3 linked regions of the Caenorhabditis elegans genome follow. The gene in region 1 interacts genetically with each later gene. Each region holds a gene or a part of one and is shown on either strand. Other genes may lie near its edges.

Region 1 (7,694 bases):
GAAGCTGATCATTTGTCTTCATGTGCTCTCTCCGTCGTAGACGTAACGGATCCGTAATGGTTTTTCCGAGAACTGGTTCTAATTCATTCAATAATGTTAGAAATGATGCATTCTGCCAGGCAACGTCAGCAGCGTCAAACATCTGTAAATTTGTTATATTTAATTTTACAATAAGCATATAATATAAACTAACCATTGACAAATCAGTCAAAGCCTTTTCCAATCCAAATTGAACTTCAGCTACGGTAAGTTTTTCACTTCGAATCAAATATTCAATAATTTGAGGTAATTTTTTGTAGAAAAATGTTGTGGATTGCCATCGAAAGTCAGCACGATGTTGTTTTGGAAAGTGTAATAAATCCATTGATTCTTCACATTTCAATAGAATTGCTCCATGAAGAATATCAAAAATCACATCTGGACCATAGAATCGCATTATTTCAGCAAAAGTTTGAATAGTTTCAGCCATCAGTTTACTGCTTTCGTGATTTTTGAAGCAAGCAAAAATGGGGATCAAAATGCGAATGGAAGGATTTTTCAAATCGAACAAAGCGATTCCTTCAGGGATGTATTGGAATTTTACAGGCTTGCATTTTTCAATATGTCTTTCGATAAGCATTTCCACCAATGTAGTTGCTGATTTGTCAGGTGAACGAAGTTTTGAGAATGAATCACGACAGAGCTCAAGCTGATGAGTGATTTCAGAGGCTTCGGAAAATGCTAGAAGTGAGCTACAAAGATCATCGTGTATGAATGCGCTGAGAGCTTCCAAAGGTTTGTAGTAAGCTTTACGAACGTCCCCATACTCAATTTGTATCATCTCCAGCTCATCTTCATCAGAAAGAACATCCTGAAAATAAAAATAAAGAATATGGATTTAAAGATAAGTTGTTTTTTTTTGAATAACAATTCTATTGGTTCCAAATATTAGTATATTTCAAGAAAATTTAAATAGATTTTTAAAAAATTGTATTGTGATTTTTTATGTTTTTTTTTGAAATTCGTACTTCAAGCTGCAACAATTTATTCATATGGGTCTCGCGACGAGAAAAAGTTTTTGGTAAAATATTTTGGTATCATTTTTTCTTCTTTTTTTGCGAATTAGGATCTTATTGGTTCGCTCTTATGTATTCTTGTTAAGAGAGATTTTAAATTAAATTTTTTAATAGAAAATAATTGAAAAAGCAACACCCAATAAAACCTAAATTTTGAAGGCAAATGCTCTTTTACTACCTCATCTTTTACTACGTTGCTCTTTTACTACGGTTTACTCTTTTACTACGGCCGTATTTTTTACTACATTTTCCAATTTCGATTTTTTACTACGAAATGTATCTTTTACTACGGTCGTTTTTTTTACTACGGTTTCCGAATTTGATTTTTTACTACGATTCGTATCTTTTACTACGATTAACGATTTTTTACTACCTAATGAAAAAAAGAATATCAAAAGTTGGAATTTGAAAGTTACCTTGTAGCAGATTTTAGGTATAATTACAATTTCACTCTGAAATCAACATGAAAGTTTCATAGCTGTGTTCTTTTTCCAACTTTTGAAATATACTACTGTCTGAGCGGTTTTTAACTGAATCCGACGATATCAGAACGGGAAAATGAAATTTATGAAAATTTTCCAAACAAAACTATTTTGAAACCTTATTAGGCACTAATCAGTTATTGTAGAAAAATTCTCAATCTGTCGTTTTTGAAAACATTCCTGTCAACTTTGTGATTTGGCATAATAATAAGAAACTCGACAAGTAGGGCTCTATATACCCACATATCTTTTCGGACAGAGGGAATGCGAAAAATTAATCAATCGCAAACTTGTTAAGCTTAAGATAAGGAACACTTTTCCCGTGCAAACTATTTGAAAAAAAATCTGAATGGATCCAGATTCGAACCAGCAATGACTCTACTGAAGAGCGCGCGCTTTACCACTTCTCCAAACAGGCAAGTGGCGGCCGCGGTTCCAAGGAATATGTGAAACCAACCGAGCTGTACGAAGTAAGAAGCTTCCATTACTTTTTCAGATATTTAGTTCTGAAAACTTTGTCAACTCTCCTTATCAACAACTAAATGGTCCTTTTTGTAGTTATTTCTACTGGAAAAAAAGAGTGTGCCTGTAAATAATATCCTGCGTATAAACGTTGTTGTCCAGTGAAAACCTTCGCTTGACTTGAAATTTATCTTGAAAACTACTTTTTTTGAGTGTATTTTTAAACATTCTACAAATTCCACTTAATAGCAGCTCGGGAACTTCTGTGATTCATCGAATAAGCTATTTTCAAAAAAAAATTGGCCCAAAATTTGTTTCTGAAAAACGGCCCCAATCTTGTTTTTTTCCAGTAATAAATGCAATCTGAATTTTTTCGAAATTATTTTTCGCATGGAATGTCCTGTTTTTGGGTTTCAAACGCACTTTTTTGTCAATTTTGCTTTTTAAAAATATGAAGTGTCGTCGAATAAAATGCACGGTACGCAAAAGTACGCAAACACCGACATGTACCGTACTCCGGAATTTTTTCAATTTCGATCGAATTCGATTTGCCAATAACGAAAACGACGAAAACGTTACGTTTGAAGCCGGAAAATGGGATTTTGATACGAAAAATTATTTTAAAAAATAAACTTTTTATATACACTCTTGGAAAAATAAGAACTGTAGTGGTTTTTGAGAAAAAACATTTTAGGCCCAAAATTTAATTTCAAATGTTTCATTTCTGTATCTCGTATCAACATGCATGTACAATTTTCTAGAAATTTCAAGTCAAGGGAAGGTTTTCACTGGACAACAACGTTTATACGCAGGATATTATTTACAGGCACACTCTTTTTTGCCAGTAGAAATAACTACAAAAAGGACCATTTAGTTGTTGATAAGGAGAGTTGACAAAGTTTTCAGAACTAAATATCTGAAAAAGTAATGGAAGCTTCTTACTTCGTACAGCTCGGTTGGTTTCACATATTCCTTGGAACCGCGGCCGCCACTCGCCTGTTTGGAGAAGTGGTAAAGCGCGCGCTCTTCAGTAGAGTCATTGCTGGTTCGAATCTGGATCCATTCAGATTTTTTTTCAAATAGTTTGCACGGGAAAAGTGTTCCTTATCTTAAGCTTAACAAGTTTGCGATTGATTAATTTTTCGCATTCCCTCTGTCCGAAAAGATATGTGGGTATATAGAGCCCTACTTGTCGAGTTTCTTATTATTATGCCAAATCACAAAGTTGACAGGAATGTTTTCAAAAACGACAGATTGAGAATTTTTCTACAATAACTGATCAGTGCCTAATAAGGTTTCAAAATAGTTTTGTTTGGAAAATTTTCATAAATTTCATTTTCCCGTTCTGATATCGTCGGATTCAGTTAAAAACCGCTCAGACAGTAGTATATTTCAAAAGTTGGAAAAAGAACACAGCTATGAAACTTTCATGTTGATTTCAGAGTGAAATTGTAATTATACCTAAAATCTGCTACAAGGTAACTTTCAAATTCCAACTTTTGATATTCTTTTTTTCATTAGGTAGTAAAAAATCGTTAATCGTAGTAAAAGATACGAATCGTAGTAAAAAATCAAATTCGGAAACCGTAGTAAAAAAAACGGCCGTAGTAAAAGATACATTTCGTAGTAAAAAATCGAAATTGGAAAATGTAGTAAAAAATACGGCCGTAGTAAAAGAGTAAACCGTAGTAAAAGAGCAACGTAGTAAAAGATGAGGTAGTAAAAGAGCATTTGCCAATTTTGAACATATATTTTGGTAACCTTCAACATGTAAGCTTTTAACTTTAAACAACATTTATCGCTCGTTAAAAATACTAAAAATCTTACTTGTATCAGTTGCGCGAGGAAGAAAACAGTCGGCTTCATAATCGAAATAAGCTCATCTGCATGCAATTTATCAGAAAATGACTTGATTCTGAAATTAATAAACTTGGCAAAATTTTTCAATTAAAAATGCCAACTCACTGTACATAGTTGACCATTTCCCGGATCAATTCGCATTGCAAACATTTCGAATAAATTCTATCTGTTTTTGTATTTATCACACTGTGGATGACTTGATTCCAGGTGATTGACTGTAAATTTATAATTTTTTGGAATAAAACAAAGAACTACAGAGTACCTTATCTACGACAAGTTTGAGAAGATGGTCCCGGAAAACATCATCGATATATGTTCCATTATAAGCAAACCGAATCAAAATATCTGAATAAAATATATTAATACAATTACAAAAAAGAATTGCAACAAACCACAAAGCTGCTGAGTTGAGATACCGGGAAAGTCAACTGGACGAATGACTGATGATACTTTTTGTCGTTTTTCATTTGAGCAATTGCGGAGTTTGTCAATATATTCAATAACTATCTAAAAAAAAATTAAATACAAAATAAGTTTGTTGAAATTAAAATAAAAATTTATTTAAAAAAAAACTCACTTTTGTTGAACTATCAATTTTGATACTATTCATGATTTAATTGATTTAAATTTGAAGCATTTAAACTGTAACCAAAATATATTCAAACACCGACATTAACCCAATATTCGGTGCAATAGTATAAATGGATGTGAGACGTAGACACGCAATAGAGCGAGGTGGCCGAGTGTTTATTGTCCCCCACTACTTGGGGGACTAGGTACGATGCATTCCTCTTCCATTGTACATTTTCTGACATAGGAGGGATGTCTTCCTTCACTTCTCAGAGTCAATGAAAAATTGGGCGTGGACGGCATTTATTTTCAATGATTCTACACAATTTTCAGATGTAATAATCAAACTGCCACCCCAACAATCTCTTAAGACGATTTAATTCAGCTTCATTCACTTTTCATTTTCAAAAAAAAACTTTAAGCTTGTTTTAATTACTTGTTTATAAGTTACCATGGAAACATTACATTTTCTAAAATGTGCTTTGCACTCAAACTATAGTTTAAGTTTATATATAAACTTGGAAATAACAACTTTCAATATCTTGAGCATGTCTCAAATTATTTCATTCGTAATTTTCACTAGTGTTTTTATCAGACCCAAAGCCACTATTGTAAAAAAAAACTAGGCAAAACTTTCAGCCTTTCAAAGCTGGGTGCATCATTTTCTTCATCGGCCAAAAATCATGTTCTCGGCAGAGAGCAACTTAAGAAACAGGTGGAGGTTAAGTAAAACTTTGAGTGAAAATATATTTTTGAAGATAGATGAAAACTTGAAAATCGAAACACAAATACTCGAGGAACGTAAGAAGAAGGCTTTAAAGCTTCTTATCATAGGTACCTGATTAAAAAAAAAAACATAATCAAAATGTAACCTTTATTATATTTAGGTCCGGGAGAGTCAGGAAAAAGTACAATAGTCAAGCAAGTAAGGTAAATTCAATGAAAACTACATTTTTTCAGTTGCTTCCAAAAATTATCACCTACTCAGCTGATTTTCAAAATAATTAGATAATATATTATCGGTAGTTTGTAATATTGAAATTTTGAGAATTCTTCATTGTGGAGGATACAGTGTTGAAGAAAAAAGAGCTCTAAAACATGGAATTTATATAAATATCTTGGAAGGTATTGATGAGATACACTGGGCAATTATGTGGAGACAATTAATTTACGAAAATCCATCTTCAATTGTAAGTAATTACCGTATTTCCTCTATTAGTTTTGCACCCCTTTGCTCAACTTTGACAACTCATATCTCGTTTTGTTTTAAGCATATAAATAATTAACAAACTACAAACGTTAGAAAACATCTTGCAAAAATTTTATCAGTTGACAACTTTTTTATAAAACAAACGACTACTGAGATATGAGCTGTGAAAGTTGAGCAAAGGGGTGCAAAACTAATAGAGGAAATACGGTAAATGTTTCAAAACTAATTTCCATTATAGGAATGCCTAAATCAAATCCGAATATTTACGAAACAGTTCAATAAAACTGGAGAGACTGAAAATGTTTTGTGCAAAGACATTATAAAGTCTATCCAGATGTACATAAAAGATGAAACAGTTGCCATGATGTTGAGGAATAAAACTGTTTATAATATTGAAGACTCAACAATTCAGCAAGTTAAACGTTGGGTTTTATTCAGTCTAATTATTATTATTTCCAGTTTCATTGAAAACCTTGCAAGAGTTATTGGAAAAGAATACTTGCCAACCGGAGAAGATATATTGAAAACCAGAGTCCCAACCTTGGGAATTGCACAATATGAAGCAAATATAAAACATTTGACTTTCAAGTAACACTTTGTTCAGTTTGTTGTGGTTTTTGGAAGGAAACAATTATTTACAGATTCATTTTTTTCGACATTGGGGGACAACGTGCTCAACGTCGAAAAATTACCCATGTGTTGTGAGATGGGCTGGGCTATGCCACCATCTCTCAATTACAAAGTTCTTTGAGCGCGACGAACACATTTCCATCGTGTTCGCCGTAGCTTAAAACCTTTATGCTCCCTTTATTCTCGCAATTCTCTCCCGATTAGCATCTTTCTAAGCGCCTTCCCATTCAAATTTGCCGCCAACCGGCTGGGTCTCGCCACGCGCACGCGCCGCCGACCGCGGCGCGGCGCAGCTTGCTCATCCTAATTGGCTGGCCTAAATAGTTTCATTCATTCGATTATCAACCGCTCCTTCTGAGCGGTCGTCCCCTTTACCTTTTCCGTTTTATTAATTGATATTTAGTTGTTTTCTCTCCGAAGTATTGATTGCATCGGCAATCACGGGCATTGGGATCAGAGCACAGCCTCTGACCCAATTGCCTAGTTGATTGACCGATTGACAACAACAATACATGAACAGTTCACTCATCATCCGCTGGACTTGATGGTACAATCCACAGCCGCTAATTGATTGTCTTAATTGTTTATTAATGAAGGAGTCTTATAGTCATACAATGTGTTACTCGTTACATCGCTTATCTTTATCCTTCCTCGCTCGGCACTTGACCTTCGCCTCCTCTCTCTAGACGCTCTGGTTTGAACTCGGCTGTGTTTCCCCAACGCACAATTAGCTGAGCGGTCATGTGTTAGACGATTCCCATGCAATTCTTTTTATTACTTCACTATCAGAATATAATCAAGTTTTGAGAGAAGATGCTTTTGTGGTGTGTTTTTTTAAGTTGAGACAATTAAAATATTTATTTGTTATAGAGCCGAATAGAAGAATCACTTCATTTGTTTAATGAAATATGCAATGGGATGTATTTTCATTCAACCGCAATTATTCTATTTTTGAACAAAATTGATCTTTTCGAAATCAAAATCACTCACACCAACATTACAGTAGCATTTCCAGACTACGAAGGTTAGATTCAATTATTTCCTTTTTTCCAATTATCATCTTAAAACTAATTAATAAATGATTTCTAGGTCCTCGAGAACGTGATTGTGCACTTGAGTACATTCGAGTTCAATTTATTTCTCTCAATAATAACAAAAATCGGAAAATATATCAGCATGTCACAAGTGCCACGGATACAGCTAGAATTCAAGTGAGTTATCAAGTTTAAATATAAATTGGAGAATCTTTTTCAGGTTGTCATTGATATGTTGTTCGATATAATCATATCTGCAAGTTTGAAAATGGTGGGAGTTTAGAGAAAACATCAGTAAAAATAGTTGAGGTTTCTTTGGTATCAAAAACTCAATTAGCAATACTCGAACATCGAATCCATGCAGTAAATGGATCTTGTAGTTTTCCAGGAA
Region 2 (9,727 bases), on another chromosome or scaffold:
TCGAAGCTCTTACTGTGTAAAGTGAAATCTCTTTAAACTTTGATTCATTGCTCCAGGACCGACACTGTACGAATAACTTAGGCTTAGATTTTGTTCAAGAATAATTTGAATGTATTCAATAAAATAAGCGTGTTTTCAATCATCACTGTGAACTACAAAAAACGGTGAATGAAAAGGAAAACTCATGAATACGGCCTGCTCTGCTTGGAATAGGATTAAAGCCAGCCCAGTTTTCAAGAGTATTCGGGCCTGCGGCCCTCAAACCTGGTTATTAGGCTTGAGTGAATAACATATCTGCTTAGAATAGGATCAAAGCCAGCCCATAGTTTAAAGAGTATTCGGGCCTGCGGCCCTCAAACCTGGTTATTAGGCTTGATTGAATAACATATCTGCTTAGAATAGGATCAAAGCCAGCCCATAGTTTCCAAGAGTGTTCGGGCCTGCGGCCCTCGAACCTGGTTGTTAGGTTTGAGTAAATAACAACCGCGTCGCAGGCCTACAGCCTGCTCTGCTTAGAATAGGATTAAAGCCAGCCCACAGTTTTCAAGAGTATTCGGGCCTGCGGCCCTCAAACCTGGTTATTAGGCTTGAGTGAATAACATATCTACTTTTAGGAAAATCGTGAACGCCTGTGGGCCCCGCAGCCCCTCGGGAATGGGGATTGTTTTAGAAAACTGAAAATAATAAAAGCTTTCTAAATCAAACTTATCTAAGAGTAATCGCATATCAGGCCTCCGGCCTGCCTTGGTATAATGATTTAAGGTTGACTGCGTCTTCTAAGAGTAAGAGTGCCTGCGGCACTCAATCCAGCCAATCTGGGCTTGAAACAGTTGTAATCGCACAGCAGGCCTCCGGCCTGCAATGCCTGAAGTATATGTTCAAAGTGAACTTCTTCTTAGAGTTGGTGAGGAGTTATGCACTAAGACTTCAATCCGTCATAACTTTGCTCATAGTGGAAATTTGAAAAAAATAAAATAATATTTGAAATTGGCGTAAAAAGTGGAATAATACGGCGGTTATTATTTTAAAAAATAACAAAAATTGAAACATATCACCTTCTGGGAAGGCCTGGAAGCTCGAAACTTCCACAAATGTGCTGAAAGTTGTCAAGACCGACCAAATTTAGTTTTTCTACCTTGCTTCAATGAAAATTATCAAAATTAAAACATAAAATCGAAAGGATAGTTGAAAACTTGTCCAGGAACAGAGGAAAACTGGATTTCCATGTGCAAAAATTAAATACCCTATCTCCGCGAAAAGTGATCGGATCGAGCTGTGATTTGAGATTTCATTTTAAATCATTCTATAAATTCTAAATTTAACGTAAAAACCGGAACGATAGTGGAAAGTTTGTGAATTTTATGGAAAAATGTAAATTGTTTGAAAGAAGTGAGCAAGACTAACGGAGATTTGACCGAAACAATGGTGAAAACACACCAAATATGAAAAGGGGAGGTGGGTGTGTGTGTGTGAGAAAAGGGGGGAGGTGCAGAAATTTTGGCAAAACTTTAATTATCGTTTTTAAAATAAAGAATAGAGATATCACAATGAACTTAGATACAGTGGATAGGTATTGAAAAGGAGAACTTAAGTTTCGAGTCTCAAACGTTTTGAACATAAACTCGAATTTTCCTTCAATTTAAAGTGGTTTTCGACCAGTACTTCGGTGTGCGCAAAAACAAGAGGGGTGTGGTTTTCCGCTTGTGGAGCCGACAGGATGCTCCCAAATCAACCCCCTTTTAGATGAACACACGTCGCTATATTTTGTGAATGTAGAGAAAAAAGAATTTCAAAAATCGGTTCCGTGAGAGCCGAGATATAAACGTTCAAAATTGTATTACATTTTTTCGGACATTTTTTGAACATTTTTTGAACACCGAAAACGCGTGTATGAGGCAAGATGGGGGTTTTAGGAAAGAGGCAGAAGCCTGAAATCTGCGATTTTTGGGATTTTTTAAAACATATTTAGATAAAAATTAAGCTCAGCCCATTTCGTGGCTTTCTGTTTTTCAAATTTTTGGGAATTTGTTTTCTACGAAATCTAATTTTTTAAAATTAGTTTTTTGTTGATTTTTTTCTAGTTTTTTAAACAAAAATTAACGAAAAAAAATTTTTTTTTTGAAATTTCAATGCAAAACGTGGGCGGGACTCAATAGGCCACGGCCATAAAATGGTCAGCCATTTTGTGGGCGTGGTCTACCAAGCCCCGCCCATTTTTTCGAACATTTCACTTTTTCGGAAAAATTGTTTTTTTTTGTTTTTCTCTTCAAAAATTTAAAAATTTTCCCGATTTTTCGACAATTTTTTAAAATACATATATATATATATATATATATATATATATATGAATGTGTATTGTTGATAATTTGATAAGAACAATAAATGAATAAATAAAAAATATAGGAGGAAATGAATAAAATACATAACAAAAATCGAGAGATTCTGTGTGAAAATTGGTGAAAAGAGGATATTGGAAGAGGGAAATTCGAAAAAAAACACAATTTTTTTTTCGAAAAATGGCCAGAAATGGGCGGAGCTTAACTTTTTCGGTTTTATTTTTTTTTAAATTTAAAAAAAGCGAAAAAGCTAAGAAGCCACGCCCACAAAATAGACAATCGCGGATTTTTTTTTTGAATTTTTTCAGAATAATTTTGAGATCAAAATAAAGCCTCGTCCATTTTGTGGGCGTGGCCTAACCATTTTTTTTTCAATTTTTTGGGGAATTTTTTTCTGCGAAATTTAATTTTTTTTCGAAATATAATGAGATATTTTGCGTTTAAAAAAATACATAAAGCCCCGCCCATTTTGTGGGCGTGGTCTGTTAGGCTCCGCCCATTTTACGGGTAAAAAGGTGGTGTTTTTCAGAGGCGGAAAATTAAAAAATAGGGTAAAAAAGTAATAAATTAAAGATTTTTGTTGGTGAATTTAAATTTCCCGGGCGACCATTTATTCTTCCATTTTTTCTTCCGGCTTTTCCTTATTTTCAGTAGTAGTAGTAGTGGTAGTAGTTTCAATTGCTCCATCATCTGTACTTGGCTCTGTGCCAGCAGCTGGTGTTTCTGTGCTCTCCGCCGGCTTCTCCTTGACATTTTGCTCTTTTTCTTGCTCCGGCGTCTTCGGTGTCTCCTCCATTACCAAATTTCTTAACAGTGGCGCTGAATTCGCTGAAAAAATTGGAAAAAATAAATGATTAGCACACAGCACAATGATGATTGATCACTTTTTGATAAGAATGCTGCGTGTCCCCGCAGGGGTTTTTTATTGAAAATTTTGAAAATTTGGTTAAAAATTCCAATAAAAACCCCCGGCGGGGACACATTTTTTACACAAAAATTCGCAGAAAATGTGCCCCCGTAGGGGTTTTTTGCCGAAATTTATGACATTTTTGGGCTAAAAATTTAAAAAAAAACGGTTCAGAGGCTGAAAATGTGTCCCCGCAGGGGGTTTTATTGGAATTTTGTACCGAAATTGTTAAAATTTCAATAAAACCCCCTGCGGGGACATATTTTCTGCCATTGAACCGTTTTTTTTTTAATTTTTAGCACAAAAATTGCTGGAAAATGTGTCCCCACAGGGGGTTTTTATAGAAATTTTCGACAACTTTGGTCTAAAAATGAAAAAAAAAGCCTCAATGGTTGAAAATGAGTCCCTGCAGGGGTTTTTTATTGGGATTTTTAACCAAAATTGTCAAAATTCTAATAAAAACCCCTGTGGGGACACATTTTCTGGCATTGGACTGTTTTTAGCGCAAAAATGGCAGAAAATGTGTCCCTGCAGGTGTTTTTATTGGAACTTTCTACAAATTTTGGGCTAAAAATTAAAAAAAAACGGTTCAGAGGCTGAAAATGTGTCCCCACAGGGGTATTTAATAGAATTTTTAACCACAACAGCCAAAAACTTCAATAAAAACCCCTGTGGGGACACATTCCCAACCATCGAAGCGGTTTTTTTTTTCAATTTTAGCCTAAAAATTGTCCCCACAGGGGTTTTTATTGGAATTTTTGACAATTTTGGCCTAAAAATTCGAAAAAAAACAACGTTTTTTTCACATTTTCACCGGAAATTTGCGATATTTGAGCTAACATTCTTCAAAAATCTCAATAAAATCGAATTTTTCAGCGTGTTTTTTGCAGATATTCACAATTTTGAGTTGATGTTTCAATAAATTTCAAATTTTCAATTAAAAACCCTGTGCAAGGGGGACACATTTTCTGCCAATGAAGGTTTTTTTTCACTTTTAGCCTAACAATTGTCCCCACAGGGGTTTTTATTGGAATTTTTGACAATTTTGGTCTAAAAAATTAGAAAAAAAAAACTGTTTTTTTTTTCAGATTTTCACTGGAAATTTGCCATTTTTTAAGATAAAATTCTTCCAAAATCTCTCAATAAAATCGAATTTTCAGCGTGTTTTTTCTCTATATATTCACCATTTTGAGTTGCTGTAGTTTCCTGTTTCTTCTTATATTCTTCATAAGCTGTCGCAAGCTTCTCCTCCCATTCTTTAACAGTTTCCTCAAACTTTTCCTCATCTACAACTGGTTTTTCACTAACAGCTTTCTTCAATTGCTCTTGGAAGTCGTCACTGCCCTTTTCGATGGCTCTTTTTCGATTGTCATGGGCTCTTTCCAGTCTGAAAGATGGATAATTTGGGAAAAAAATCGATTTTTAAAGATAATTTTTAGATAATTTTTTGAAATTTATTTGAATTTTTAACTCGAAATTTCAGATTTTAAAGCTTAAAAAATGTAATCTTTTAGAAATTTTAGATTTTTAAGCTTAAAAAAATTATTTTTTTTAGAAATTTCAAATTTTTAGACTAAAAAATTGAATTTTTAAGAAATTTCAGATTTTAGGCTCAAAAATTCGTATTTTTCAGAAATTTCAGATTTTAGGCCTAAAAATTCGATTTTTAGATTTAGATAATTTTTTTGAATTTTTTAACTCGAAATTTCAGATTTTAAGCTTAAAAAATCCAATTTTTTAAAAGAAATTTCAGATTTTTAGACTAAAAAATGTTTTTTTTAGGAATTTCAGATTTTAGGAAAAAAATTTGATTTTTTTGAAGAAATTTTAGATTTTTAGGCTTAAAAATTCGAATTTTTGAAGAATTTTCGGATTTTTAAGCTTAAAAATTCAATTTTTCTTGCTATTAGAATTTTCAGAATTTTCGGCTAAAAAATTCAAGTTTTCGCTTTTTTTTTTGAAAAAAATAAATTATTTCGATTTTTACGATAAAAAATCGATTATTTAATCCAAAAAATAACATTTTTTCGGTTTTTACTCCAAAATATCTCCGAAAACTGAAAAATTACACATTTTGCACATGTAAAATTTGATTTTTTGCTGAAAATTTCAATTTTAAGATCAAAAACTGCTCAAATTCCGTGAAAAATTGGGCAAAAAATCGATTTTTACAGCATTTTCATAGTGAAATTGTATCAATTTTTACTTTGTGAGCTCTTCTTCAAGTTTGCTCTGATGAGTACCAAGAGATGTCGCCTGTCGCTTCAACATCTCCATTCGGTGGTGTGGAACTACCTGAAAATTGGGAAAAATTGAAAATTCTGGAGAAAAATAGAGAAATTTGAGCTTTTTGAGCAAAAAAATGCAGTTTTTTGTGATTTTTTCTTGAAAATTCATAGTTTTAAGCGATTTTTCTTTGAAAATCCTAGTTTTCCGAGATTTTTGCTCAAAAAATCCAGTTTTTTCACGATCTTCTATCGAAAAAATCAGATTTTTTAAAACGATTATTGCCTGAAAAATTCAAATTCCCTTCGAAAAATCCACTTTTTAACGATTTTCATTGAAAAAATTCAGTTTTTTAACGAATTTCACGACTCAAATGCTCAATTAAATGGATTTCTCTCGCTTTTTCCAGCTTTGTCAGTATTTTCAAGTTAAAATGAGCAATTTTTGCTCAAAAATTAAATTTTTTGTGACTTTCGCGTAAAAAATCCACTTTTCAAACGGTTTTTGTCTGAAAAATTTAATTTTCATTCGAAAAATCAAAATTTTCCGAATTTTCGTAGCTCAAATTCTCGTTTTAATGGATTTTTCTCGCTTCTTCCCAGCTTTTTCAGTGTTTTCAAGTCAAAATTAGCATTTTGTGTGCAAAAAATCCAATTCTCTGAGATTTTTGCTAAAAATAAGCAATTTTTAACGATTTTCGTTTAAAAATTCAGTTTTTACGATTTTGTTGCTGAAATGCTCGCTTTAATGGATTTTTCCCAGCTTTTTCAGTATTTTCAAGTCAAAATGAGCATTTTTTGTGCAAAAACCCAATTTTTCAGGATTTCCAGAATCCCTTACAGTTCTTGTATCAGTAACGATGCTCGGCGAGAACAAATCACTAATCAATCGATTATTTCGTTCAAATCTGACACCCGCAAGACGTCGGGTGCTCAATTCATTGCCACCGTCATCCTCGTCAACCGGTTGAATTACAACTCCGCCAGCGTCCATTCGGCTTCTCGACATTTTTTCGTTGTTCTTCGCGCGTCCCTGGAAGAAAATGTATTTAAAAATGTATTTTTCGGCTGAAAAAAGTCACTTTATTAATCATAAAATTGGAAATTCCGTTTCCTTGGAAATGTTTCATTTGTTTTTCGTAGTCTGCCTGAAAAATAATCATTTTTTACGGGAATTTCTCGTTGATTTTAACTTTTTCAAGCTCATATTCATGTTGATAATGCGATTTTTCACCGTCCGGAAGGTCCAACCAATACTTTCCAATCATTTTTCCAATATCCCAAAGCTGGGCTTCTGGATTCTCGGCGCGAACTTTTGGCCACATCTTCCGACTGTATCGCATGTAGGGTTGAAGTGGTCTTTCTGGTACTTTTGGACCACGCGATGACATATCTTGGAACTGAATTGGTGATTTTTTGAATTTAAAACCAAATTCTTGCGTGAAAACTCACATTTCTCGCCGGTGTGGCTTGCGGATGACGGAAAGATGACATTTTTCAATCTGAAATATTAAATTTTCAAAAACTAAACAGAAATTCGACTGGAAAACCCAGAAGAAACACCAAGAAAATACAAAAAAATCGATTTAATTTGAAAATCCCCTCAATGTCCAGTGGGGCGCGCTTGCTCATTGTAGGTGTGGTTTTGTTTGGCAAGCCTGGCACGTGGTTTTTGCAAGAGTGCCGCACGTGGTTTTTTTTTAATTATTATTTTGGAGAAAAAGCCAAAAAAAAAGGAAAAAAACATCAAAAAACATGAAAATTGCTGAAAAAGCGAAATTTCATTAATTTTCCAGGAATGGCAAGCCAAAAAGGAGCGCCGACGTCAAAAAGCTTGTACTTTTCGCCGATTTTACTGTATTTTTCTGTTCTGGATTTAATAAAAACTCGATTGGAAGCTGAAAATTACAAGAAAATTAGGAAAACTTTCAGAAAACATCGATCAAATGAAAATCCAATGAAAGACTGAGGAAAACTATTAAAATTGGCAGAAAAATTCAAATTTCTGAAAAAGTTTGCATCAACTGAATTTTTTTTGCAAAAAAAAACATTTTTTGTGTATTAAAATTTAAATTTCGCGCCGAAAAAGTGTTGTTTTTTGGCGCGAATATTGAATGGCCTAGTTTTTGCAATTCGGCCACCGCGGCGATGATGGTAGGTGCGCCAAAGAGTACACTAAATTTTTTGTTTTAATTTATTCATCCAATATGATTATTAAATAGTTTTTTTCGAAAAAAAAATAGAGAAAGGAGGGAAAATCGGGGGGGAATACCTAGAAAAAGCCAAAAAAAAAGGGGTCAAAATTAAGAAGATGTCTGTGGAAACCCGTCGCTACAGATCGAGAACTTGTGAACGTTGCACACGAGATTCGATACCTTCGGGGGGATGTGCTTACAACAAAAAGATGAGCCACTGAAAAACAATAGAGCACATTTTCAAACAGTGTGTGTCACAGGTGGGGGAGAAGAAATCTGAGAGAAATGATGACAATTGAGAGAATATTATCACTCTATAGGACATTATCATAATAATTATGAGTAGTTTTCGAGAACTTTTCACAGGAAAAACGAACGAACGAAAAATCAACAAATAAGTTACTACCTAAAAAGAAATTTTGAATTTGAATTAATAAAATATCCTATATATTTAAAAATTGTCACAATTAAAGTTCAAATACCAACAAGTTGAGAGGGTGATGCATTTGATATTTGCCTTATAGCGCCACCGTAATCGCCTGCCTGGTTATGCCTCATAGAGGAAACCAGGAGCCGTACGGGAAGAGCCAACAAAGATAGGCAAATTTTCAATTTTTTCGGGAGCTGCAGCACAAAACAACGTGGACAACGCGACACACACACGTAGGAAAAGTAGTGGGGGTGGGGGGACTTTTTCGAGGCACACACCACTTTTTTTTAGCGACGAGCAGTTACAACAAACTGCTTAAGGAGAGGGGGGGGGGGGGTGGGGGTATGGGAATTTTGCTTTAAAAAATCGAAAATCTCGCAAAATTTGGTTTTTTGGGATTTTGTTTTGAAATTTAAAATCGCTTTTAATTTTGGTCATTTTTTTGGGGGGAAAAAAAAAAGAATTTTTCCAATAATTTCACAAAATTGGAACTTTTTCCAAATTTCGAAAAATCTGGATTTTTTTTTCAAAAATTGTAAAAGGAATTTTCCAAAAATTTGAAAAAAATTGGAATTTTTTCAGAATAATTGATTTTTTTTCAAAAAAATCGAAAAATAGTTTCCAAAAATTTCAACAAAAAAAATGATTTTTTTTGAAATTTGTTTAAAAAAATGGAATATTTTTCCAAATTTCAAAAAATTGGGTTTTTTTTTTGGAAAAAAATCGAAAAATCAGTTTTTTTTTCCAAAAATTCCAAAAAAAAAATCTAAATTCTCGCAAAAATTCGGTTTTTTTTTTTGGAAATTGTGTTCAAAAATTGATTAAATTGGAATTTTTCGTTTTCAGCAACAAAATTTTGGCGAAAATTGAAAAATTGAGTTTTTTGGGACTTTTTAAAGCAAAAACAATGGGGAAGAAATATACTAAATTGGGTGTAAACATTAAGATTTTTGGAAAGAAAAAAATGGGGGAAAAATGAAAAAAAAAAGAATAATTTTTGGAGAAAAAGGAAAAACGATTAAAAATGAGTGGGCGAGAGACATGGGCGAGTCATTTAACTCCACCAATCCTGTTGAGGCTGAGCACGTTGCTGTTGTTGCTGTTGGCGACCTCCACCACCGCCTGACTGGAATCCACCGCCTCCACCGGAACGTTGTCCACCGCCTCCGAAGCCACCGCCGCCTCCGTTGCCGCCTCCGCCGTTTCCACTTCCACCTTGATAACGGTGATCGCGACCTGGAATTTGATGGTTAAAATTTTTTTTTTGGAAAATTTTTTGGATTTTTTAAAATTTTCGATTTTTGCCACTTATTTAGGAAAAATCAATAAAAATTCGGAAAATTTTGTGCCTGGGTCTCGCCACGACAAATTTTTGTTAAACGCCAAAAAGATATGCGCCTTTAAAGAGTACTGTGTTTTCAAATGTTCGTTTTTTCAGTTTTAAGAAACATCGATAAAAAATTCGGGTCGAACGAAAGTTTGAAACTACCGTACTCTTTAAAGGCGCAAGCCTTCTTGTATGTAATAAAAATTTGTCGTGTCGAGACCCTGGGTACAGTAATTTCACATGCGCCTTTAATGTCGAAAGTTTGTAAAATTACGGTACCCAGGGTCTCGACACGACAAATTTTTGC
Region 3 (7,585 bases), on another chromosome or scaffold:
TGTAAGCTCGTGGTCGTCTAGGAGTATTTGGAAATCTTTTTCGGTTTGCTCATTCTCTTTGGCAATGGGCAGCGGCCCAAACATATCTTTGAGCGTCGATACTCGTTTAATTTCTTCGATTTTTCTTTCCAACTCAAGTGCTTTTCTGGTACGTTCTTCTTGTAGTTTTCTTTCATTTTCTTTCTCAATTTCTGCTTTCAATTTTTCAGCTTCTCGGAGTTGTTCCAAACGTTTCCGTTCTTCCTCTTCTTCTCGCTTCAAACGCTCCTGTTCACGTTCTCGTTCAGCTTTACGCAATCTTTCCAACCGCATTTTTTCCTCCTCTTCTTCCCTCACTCTTCGAGAAATAAGAATAGTCTCCATTTCGATCCTCTCTTCTTCTTGTTGCTGTCGAATTCTTTCGGCTTCACGTACCTTCTCGAGGCGTAAACCTTCTTCTAACATTCTGTCCACTTTTTCCTGCAATGCAACACGTTCCTCACGTCGTCGTATCATACCTCTTCTATCTTCCTCTTCAAAACGCTTCCTTTTTCTTACTTCATCTTCACGCCGCAACCGCTGAATTGTTTCGGGGTCAACTTGTTTTTGAGTCGTCCTTTTTTCAAGCCTTCTGGTGCTAGCCATCATTCTTCTCTGTTCGGCATATTTATCGGCAAGTTTTCTTCTTGATTCTCTTCGTTTTTCTTCTCGTCTGGCCAATGCTGCCTGACTTCTTTTGTCCATAGGAACTGTTTTCAACGTCTTGGCCAGTTGTCTTTCCCTATTTCTCTCGTATTCCTCTAAACTTTCATTTAATTTACTCTGGCGAATGCTTTGTGAAATTTCAAAATGAAGTTCCTTATCAAGAGGATCCAAATCCATGTAGTCGTTGTACATTTTATCAACATTATTCTGCACATCTTTCCTTGCTGATTCCAAACAGAGTCGTCCCGACATTTTCTGATGTGAAAGCATCTCGATCGCCAAGTACGCTGGGCTAGGAAGAATACCGTTATCACTAGGCTCAAGGTTCTCCAGTAGTTCTCGGCGAGCAATATTAGCGTCATATACAGCTTGTGCAATGTCATTGGCGGTCCGTATGCTTGCACTCTGAAAGAATACTTATTCAGTTGATATGTATTAACAACGTTTTGCCTATGACGTATTTGACTTTTAGATTTTAATTTACTAATTAAAACAAAATTCCTTACCTTTCTTATCACGCATTTAAAGAAAACAAAAGTATCTTACCTCAAAACCTGTAGCACGGGTGATAACATCTTTCACAACACCAAATACTTCGGTAATCAGTTGTTTGTCCCCTGGCCCATAGACTTGTGGAATATTGTAGGTTCGGAATCTGTGAGGGAAGCGAATTGCATCTGCAAAATTATTAGTTATTGATTATTTCAAACAAGTCAATCTCACTTTTGGTTCGCGCAATTTCCTTAGTTCCACACGGCAATATTTTATCATAGCATCTGTACATTTCTGTAAACGCGCAGCCGTTTGCTTGTAACATTGTGTATCGAACGGAATGTTTATGGTATATTCTATTCATCTTTCTTTTCCTCTTTTTGAGTGGCGGTAGAGAGCGATCAATCATTTTTTGTTGATGGAACCATGAAACATCAAGGAACATTTTTTCACGGTACTGGTAGTCAATGAAAACTGAATCAGATGACGTTGATCGCATTAACTTTGACGGCTTCTGGAATACGTTTTCACTGTCACTTAAATATCCTTCAAATTCGGAGTCGACGCTGAAAAAATTTCATAAGGCAATTTTTGAGCAATGGATAAACATACTCGGAAGGTACACCCTCAATTTCGAAATTGTTTTGTTGCATTGCTGCATCATATCTTGTCTTCGATTTTCTTCCAGGCTTTTTCTTTGCAGGCTCGTTGACAATTTGTTTTTTCGCACGTGGAACAACGTAACTTGGATCGTACAGTTTAATGCGGTAATTAAGTAAATCTTTCCGTGTAAAGAACTTCATTCCGTCATTTTGGTTTGTTTTTACCAGGGGCCTTGCAATAATTTTTTCTGGTTTTTTTGAATCACCAATTATTCTGGTTATTCTAGAAGAACATTCTGATAGCTCATGCCTGACATCTTCTTGTTCCATTTCAGCCACTCCATCAGCATTGCAACCAATGGAAATTTGATAGTTGTTTGGTATTTTGTCAAATTCAAATGTGTACACATCTCCCGATGACGTCAGAACTCCCGATTCCATGTAATCCGAATTGAAAACTCTTAGACGCTCAGAATCGATTTCTTCTGTGACGACTTTTGCTCCACCGGTAATAATTAGAAAAGCTGATAGATAGTCTTTATTACTGGTTGCTCGACCGTGCTGAAAGAAAATAATAAGGTACAGTTTGACGTTTGTGGCTTACATCGTAAAAGGTCCGTAATCCAAACTTTACAGCAAAAGATTTTGCATCCATGTTTGACTGCTCGATCTGAAATGGAACACACTTTTTATAATAAAAATTGCAATTTGTAACTTTTAAAACTTACAAGATAAACAATTTCTTTTAGAGTGATTGGTTGGAGCATTGATTTGTTCTTTGAAAGAAAATCGAAAACCGGGCGATTGCATCGAAGTATCTCAGAAAGATGTAGATTATAAACAATGGTCTTGTCAAATGCGACTCTTAGTCTACTTTCCCACCTGCAAAATTTCAAATTTAAACGTACAAAACTTTGATTCAAAAAACTTACTGTTCGTATTCCGTGTAAAGTGGGAAACATATTAAATTAAACATATCGACCAAATAACGTTTTCTCGGACAGCATATTCCACTTTCATCATATTCAGGAAACTTATTCTCCCAGACTACAAAGAATCCATGAATATGACGGCCAATACGATGAAATTTGTGAAGCTCTTTAGCCGATATTGTTCCAACTTGAAATTCAACGGGAGGGGCGATGCTGCGGCTGAAAATAAATTTTATAAATATATTTCTGATGATATTTCTGATTGTTTTTAGATGAAAACAATATTTATAAAACTTTGAGCAAGCGATAGCGCTTTAGAGTTTTTAAAACTTGTCGCAAACTCAGTTTTCATCACTTTCCGACTCGAAATAAATAAATTTCCAAAATTTTTTAGAAGGTTTTATGATATTTGGATTTTTAACTACCATAGAAAAGGTGTTCATAATTTCTCAACTGAGCGTACTTCATCTTTAAACGGTTTCAGAATAGAAACAAAATTAAAGAGAAAGAAGCCACGCGTTGCCATAGAAAATGTAAAAAAAATTGCAGCTTAAAGCTACATTTGTGTGTGTTTCAGTTATTTATCAGTCTCAATTCAAATGTTCGAATAATTTTGTTCTCGTCTTGTTCAAATAAAAACTATATTTTTAGAAGCTCAACTTACTAGGTTATATTATGATATTCGTCTTGAGCTTCTTCAAAACGCATCATCAAGTAGTGCTCTTGCTGTTGAACTGTAACGGCATCTTGTGGAAAATATCCACATTCCAAAGTTGGAGGGACGAAGAGTTCAGGAAGATCCGATGAACGGTTCATACGAAGCGAAATTGAATGCTTCTGCATGAGGAACTCTCTGACAAAATAAGATGAGTCGGGGATAACATCATTGTTTTGCCGTTTCTGTAATAAGAATTGAGATGTTCAGATAAATAATTGACTACTTACCGAGTTTAAACGAATACGCAGTTGAACATTAATTTTTTCAAGTTCTGAAGATTGGTTCTTGGGAAATAGTGAATGGTGTTTGTAGAGAACTGGATCATCAGAAATTGATAATACTGGGGTTTTTGGCATTGCAACATAACCGTTCACTGCTCTCTCGTAATGACTCTTAGAAGCTTTCCACCACCCGGTTTGATATTTTAGGCGTTTTTGCTTGCCGGAATGTTTCTTCAATGCATTTTCAAACTGCAACATTTTCACAGATCCATCGTATTCAACCGCAGTTGCTACAATTTGTTCACGAAACTGGTCGCACTTTGGGGAAACAAGTTTGCCAGCTTGGAGATACTGTTCGATCGTTTTTGATAAAGTAGATTCTTTCACTCTTCCAAACTCAGTTTCTTCACCTTCCAAATGATACTGCGGAATTGTGTGTGACATAATGTTACGTGTCACTCGAGTCCGTTTCTGTTCAACTACTTTACCATCATCAGTTACAGCTGGCTTCATGCGATAATTGACAGGTCTTGGGTGATCGTGAACAACTTCTGCTACCAGTTTTGATGTTTTTGCGGTGGATCCACTCTCTATACTCAGATGTTTTGGCAGTTTTCTTCGAGGTTTCTTTACAGCTGGCTTTACAGGTAGAGGAGGAAGTTCAATTATATCGTCTTCTTCTTCAAAACACTCTTCTTCTTCATGACGGTATGCGTTGCGCAAGTGTTCTTCTAATTCCTGTTCGTTTCCATTTTCTTCTATTGTTATATTCAAAAATTCCTGTTCATCCATCTCGAAATCTCCGAGTTCACTAGTACCTCTACTTGATCCAATGAAATGAGTATCTGAAGTAATTCTGATTGCTCCGTCTGGTATCTCATCCTCGTCAATAATGACATCAGAGTCGTTTGATGAAATGTTGCGTTTAACTCTTCCAGGTAAGAAAAACGTGTTTTGCTCGGGAAGTTTCCCAATTTCTGATTGACTATAGTCGCCTGTAGTACTTGCACGTAGATGAACTATGTCATGGATGATAACAACGTCTGGATCAGCTTCATCTGGAGAATCGGACTCGTTGAATGACTCCATTTCACTTTGATTTCCTAGTTCTGATTCATCACTCATAAGTACCGGAAGAGAAAATCACGATTCTGAAAAATAATATATTAGTGAAAATAACGAAAGGTTCTTGAAAAAATTTTTAGACAACGGGCTGTCGCAGAAAAATAAAATTAAAATTAAATGTGTTATGGTAAGCTTTTTGAATTTTTTCAACAAAAAAAAAGTTTTGAAAGAATTAATTTTGAAAATAGTGAAGAGATTGAAAAAAAATTTTTTTGAAAATAATGAAGAGATTGAAGCCTAAAATAACAGAATCTAGAAAAGTAGTCAAAAACAAAAATTGATACTTATTGGTAATTTAGAATTCAAATGCCTTAACCTTTGTGAACTATTCCCTACTTTGTCTTGGTTTCACCAGTCCTGTTTTCTCTAAGTCTCCATTTTCTGTTTAATATGTTGCGAACTGGATGGAGAGAGCCATGGTGGAGAGCGCAAAGAAACGATAGATAGGAATGAGTGGGAAAAAAGGAGAAGACCCAAGAGACATCGACTGAACCTGTGTGGAAAACGAGAGAGTAGAGAGAACAAGGATACACAACTGTGACAGGGGCATGGAGACTCAATAAGAAAGCGGAGGCTGCGTTTAAAGTTATATGGATAAAATAAATTTAAAATATGTTTAGGATAAATAATTTAACTAAAGTTTTTCTAGCTTTGTATAAACGTCAATGTCACGCGCAATTCTGATAAGAAACTCTGCGTAAAGTTTAACCTTGTACAAATGTCGTATACTTTCGATTCGAAAGTAAAAGTGTGAAGCTAGAGGAAAAAAGGAAAATATCACACATATGTTGAAAGAAGTTTCATACAAACATTCAGCAAAAACTCCTACGCAAAATAACATCAATATTAATAAAAATGAAACTAAAGTAAGGTACAGAATAAACAAGTGATTTAGGTATAATTATCGAAAGGGCTCAGGCATCTAATCCGATAAGAGGAAAAGTCAAATTAATAAGTATATGTACAATAACTGCAGATTGTCTTCATCTTCGAATGTGCCAAATTCTATAATGCCGTGAACAGCGCGTCGTTACCGCAGCTCTGACCTCTGCCGTTTTGCGTTGCGCTATGCAGTGATGACCAACGGTCATCTAAACAGCCGGCTGGACAATCGATGATTTTTACGTCATACAAAACGGGGTTGAGTCGCGTAGAAACTGTGCATGAGTCGATATTTAGAAAAATTTATGAACAATTATGTTGACGGGAGAAATGGAAGATGCATACTATCAATGGGAATACATAATGGGTATGTGTAACAAATAATTTTGAACAATTTTAACTGATCCATCGAATATATGTTATATTTTTTAATAATAGGTTGTTCAAAGACCATGTTCCAACAGCAGGAATTTTTTAAAATCAAACTATAAGTAAAACAGTTTAAGTAGTGCATTTTAATAATAATATAACTTTCATGCAATACTATTTTTATGGGTCGTTTTGAGTGCAGGGCTATCAGTGATACAAAACTAATAGATCTTACAAGTAGAGATGCGCCAGAGACATTATGTGAACAACACATTATTATAACCGAAATGCCTTAAATTTTTGAAAATTGTGAAAGCTGCCTTCTAAACCATTTCAAAAGAAAAACATCCATATTGAAAATGCTTCAATTTGTAATAGTTTTTTTTGCCTTTCGAGGTTTCCGTTAAAAATTGCCAATAATGTGTAAATGCTACACTAGGAGCACTAGGAGCTCCATTTTTTCGAAAGTTATAAAATTTTTGTGCCATGCTAAAAAAAATTACAAAATCGTGAAAACTTTTTTCCAATATCCAAATTAGTAACAATTTCAGCTTGTTCTACTTTTTTTGTGATATTCAAATATTTCAGAACTATCAGGAAATGATTTAAACCCTTTTCCTACGGTTGGCGTTTTACTTACAAATACCAAATACACATTGCCATTTCCAGACACTTTTTTGATAAAGACGACCATCTTAAGAGTTGAAAGACCTGTTTTTGGTTTCATAGATGATTTTAATTAATTATTTAAAAACACTTTTGGCTTAAAACATTATTTTTTCAAGAGAGACGGAGAAAGATAAATTTCCATGGCAACATTGTCAGCGCACGAAGATTATACAACCAAGCATAGAGATTGACGAAAGATTTGTTTCCTCTATTTTTATTCACAGTTGAACAAAAATTGTGCATGTTGCTGTAGAAATGGACAGATTATGGAACTATTAGATGAAACGCAGACTGTAGAAAAATAAAAATGGCCCGAAAATAAAAATCAGTAAATATGTTTAACTGTATCTGAAACAAAAAATAAATGATATGTTGAAAAATTTGCCATTAATGTTTTATTAAACCAATTTCAGCCGTATTCTATTATGGCACGAAAAACTAATTTCCCGAGTGTTCACAGGATTGCAAGGAAAAGTTCGATGCCGACCAACAAAACATTAATTTTCGTTATAACTCAAATTCGGTAGGATATTCGAAGATTTGAACATTATTTTTCAAACATATCCATTATATCCAATTCTCGAATTTTTTGGGTATGGCATCACAAAGTCATAGTCCGTTTCTGCGTTTTTCACTGTTTGGAATTGTAACTTTAAAAATGTATCATTTTGTGTCTGATTATTTTTTGCAACTCTTAAAAATTCTTACTTACTAGTTTTGCAATGTAATAATGTGTTATACAAATTACAAATGATATCTAAATAATTATATAATTTTAAATGTATAGAAAACTTTTACTTGTCTCAACATGACAATTTTGTTAGTCAAGCTTCAGTTTCCAGTCAAATAAAACATATCACACTAACAGAAACATTTTGGATAAGTTTTTGA

The links. A genetic interaction does not mean that the proteins touch.
Region 2: of lin-25 (region 1) and swsn-3, changing one enhances a phenotype caused by changing the other (phenotypic enhancement), as found in Caenorhabditis elegans (one large-scale study listed by BioGRID).
Region 3: of lin-25 (region 1) and sdc-2, changing one enhances a phenotype caused by changing the other (phenotypic enhancement), as found in Caenorhabditis elegans (one large-scale study listed by BioGRID).

The regions. Positions count from the first base shown.
Region 1 is NC_003283.11:12,646,732-12,654,425, reverse strand, and holds the start of lin-25 (Protein lin-25), read right to left. Parts: upstream 4,502-7,694; 5' UTR 4,470-4,501; coding exon 4,437-4,469; intron 4,367-4,436; coding exon 4,252-4,366; intron 4,205-4,251; coding exon 4,122-4,204; intron 4,075-4,121; coding exon 3,965-4,074; intron 3,915-3,964; coding exon 3,827-3,914; intron 851-3,826; coding exon 194-850; intron 143-193; coding exon 1-142. Other genes in the region: gpa-9 (Guanine nucleotide-binding protein alpha-9 subunit), read left to right, coding at 7,188-7,293, 7,359-7,480, 7,524-7,586. UniProt on the Caenorhabditis elegans protein: Participates in the inductive signaling pathway downstream of let-60 Ras and the RAF/MAP kinase cascade to regulate specification and differentiation of many cell types. Positively regulates the fate of vulval precursor cells.
Region 2 is NC_003281.10:2,761,704-2,771,430, forward strand, and holds swsn-3 (HMG box domain-containing protein), read right to left. Parts: upstream 6,977-9,727; 5' UTR 6,963-6,976; coding exon 6,921-6,962; intron 6,869-6,920; coding exon 6,662-6,868; intron 6,617-6,661; coding exon 6,551-6,616; intron 6,502-6,550; coding exon 6,310-6,501; intron 5,539-6,309; coding exon 5,450-5,538; intron 4,631-5,449; coding exon 4,428-4,630; intron 3,165-4,427; coding exon 2,947-3,164; 3' UTR 2,307-2,946; downstream 1-2,306. Other genes in the region: ATP-dependent RNA helicase laf-1, read right to left, coding at 9,148-9,329.
Region 3 is NC_003284.9:11,519,928-11,527,512, reverse strand, and holds the start of sdc-2 (Sex determination and dosage compensation protein sdc-2), read right to left. Parts: upstream 4,807-7,585; 5' UTR 4,775-4,806; coding exon 3,656-4,774; intron 3,611-3,655; coding exon 3,375-3,610; intron 2,930-3,374; coding exon 2,711-2,929; intron 2,661-2,710; coding exon 2,507-2,660; exon of another isoform or gene 2,449-2,506; coding exon 2,383-2,448; exon of another isoform or gene 2,340-2,382; coding exon 1,789-2,339; exon of another isoform or gene 1,743-1,788; coding exon 1,408-1,742; exon of another isoform or gene 1,362-1,407; coding exon 1,231-1,361; exon of another isoform or gene 1,090-1,230; coding exon 1-1,089. UniProt on the Caenorhabditis elegans protein: Component of the SDC complex that functions in sex determination and in X chromosome dosage compensation specifically in hermaphrodite (XX) animals.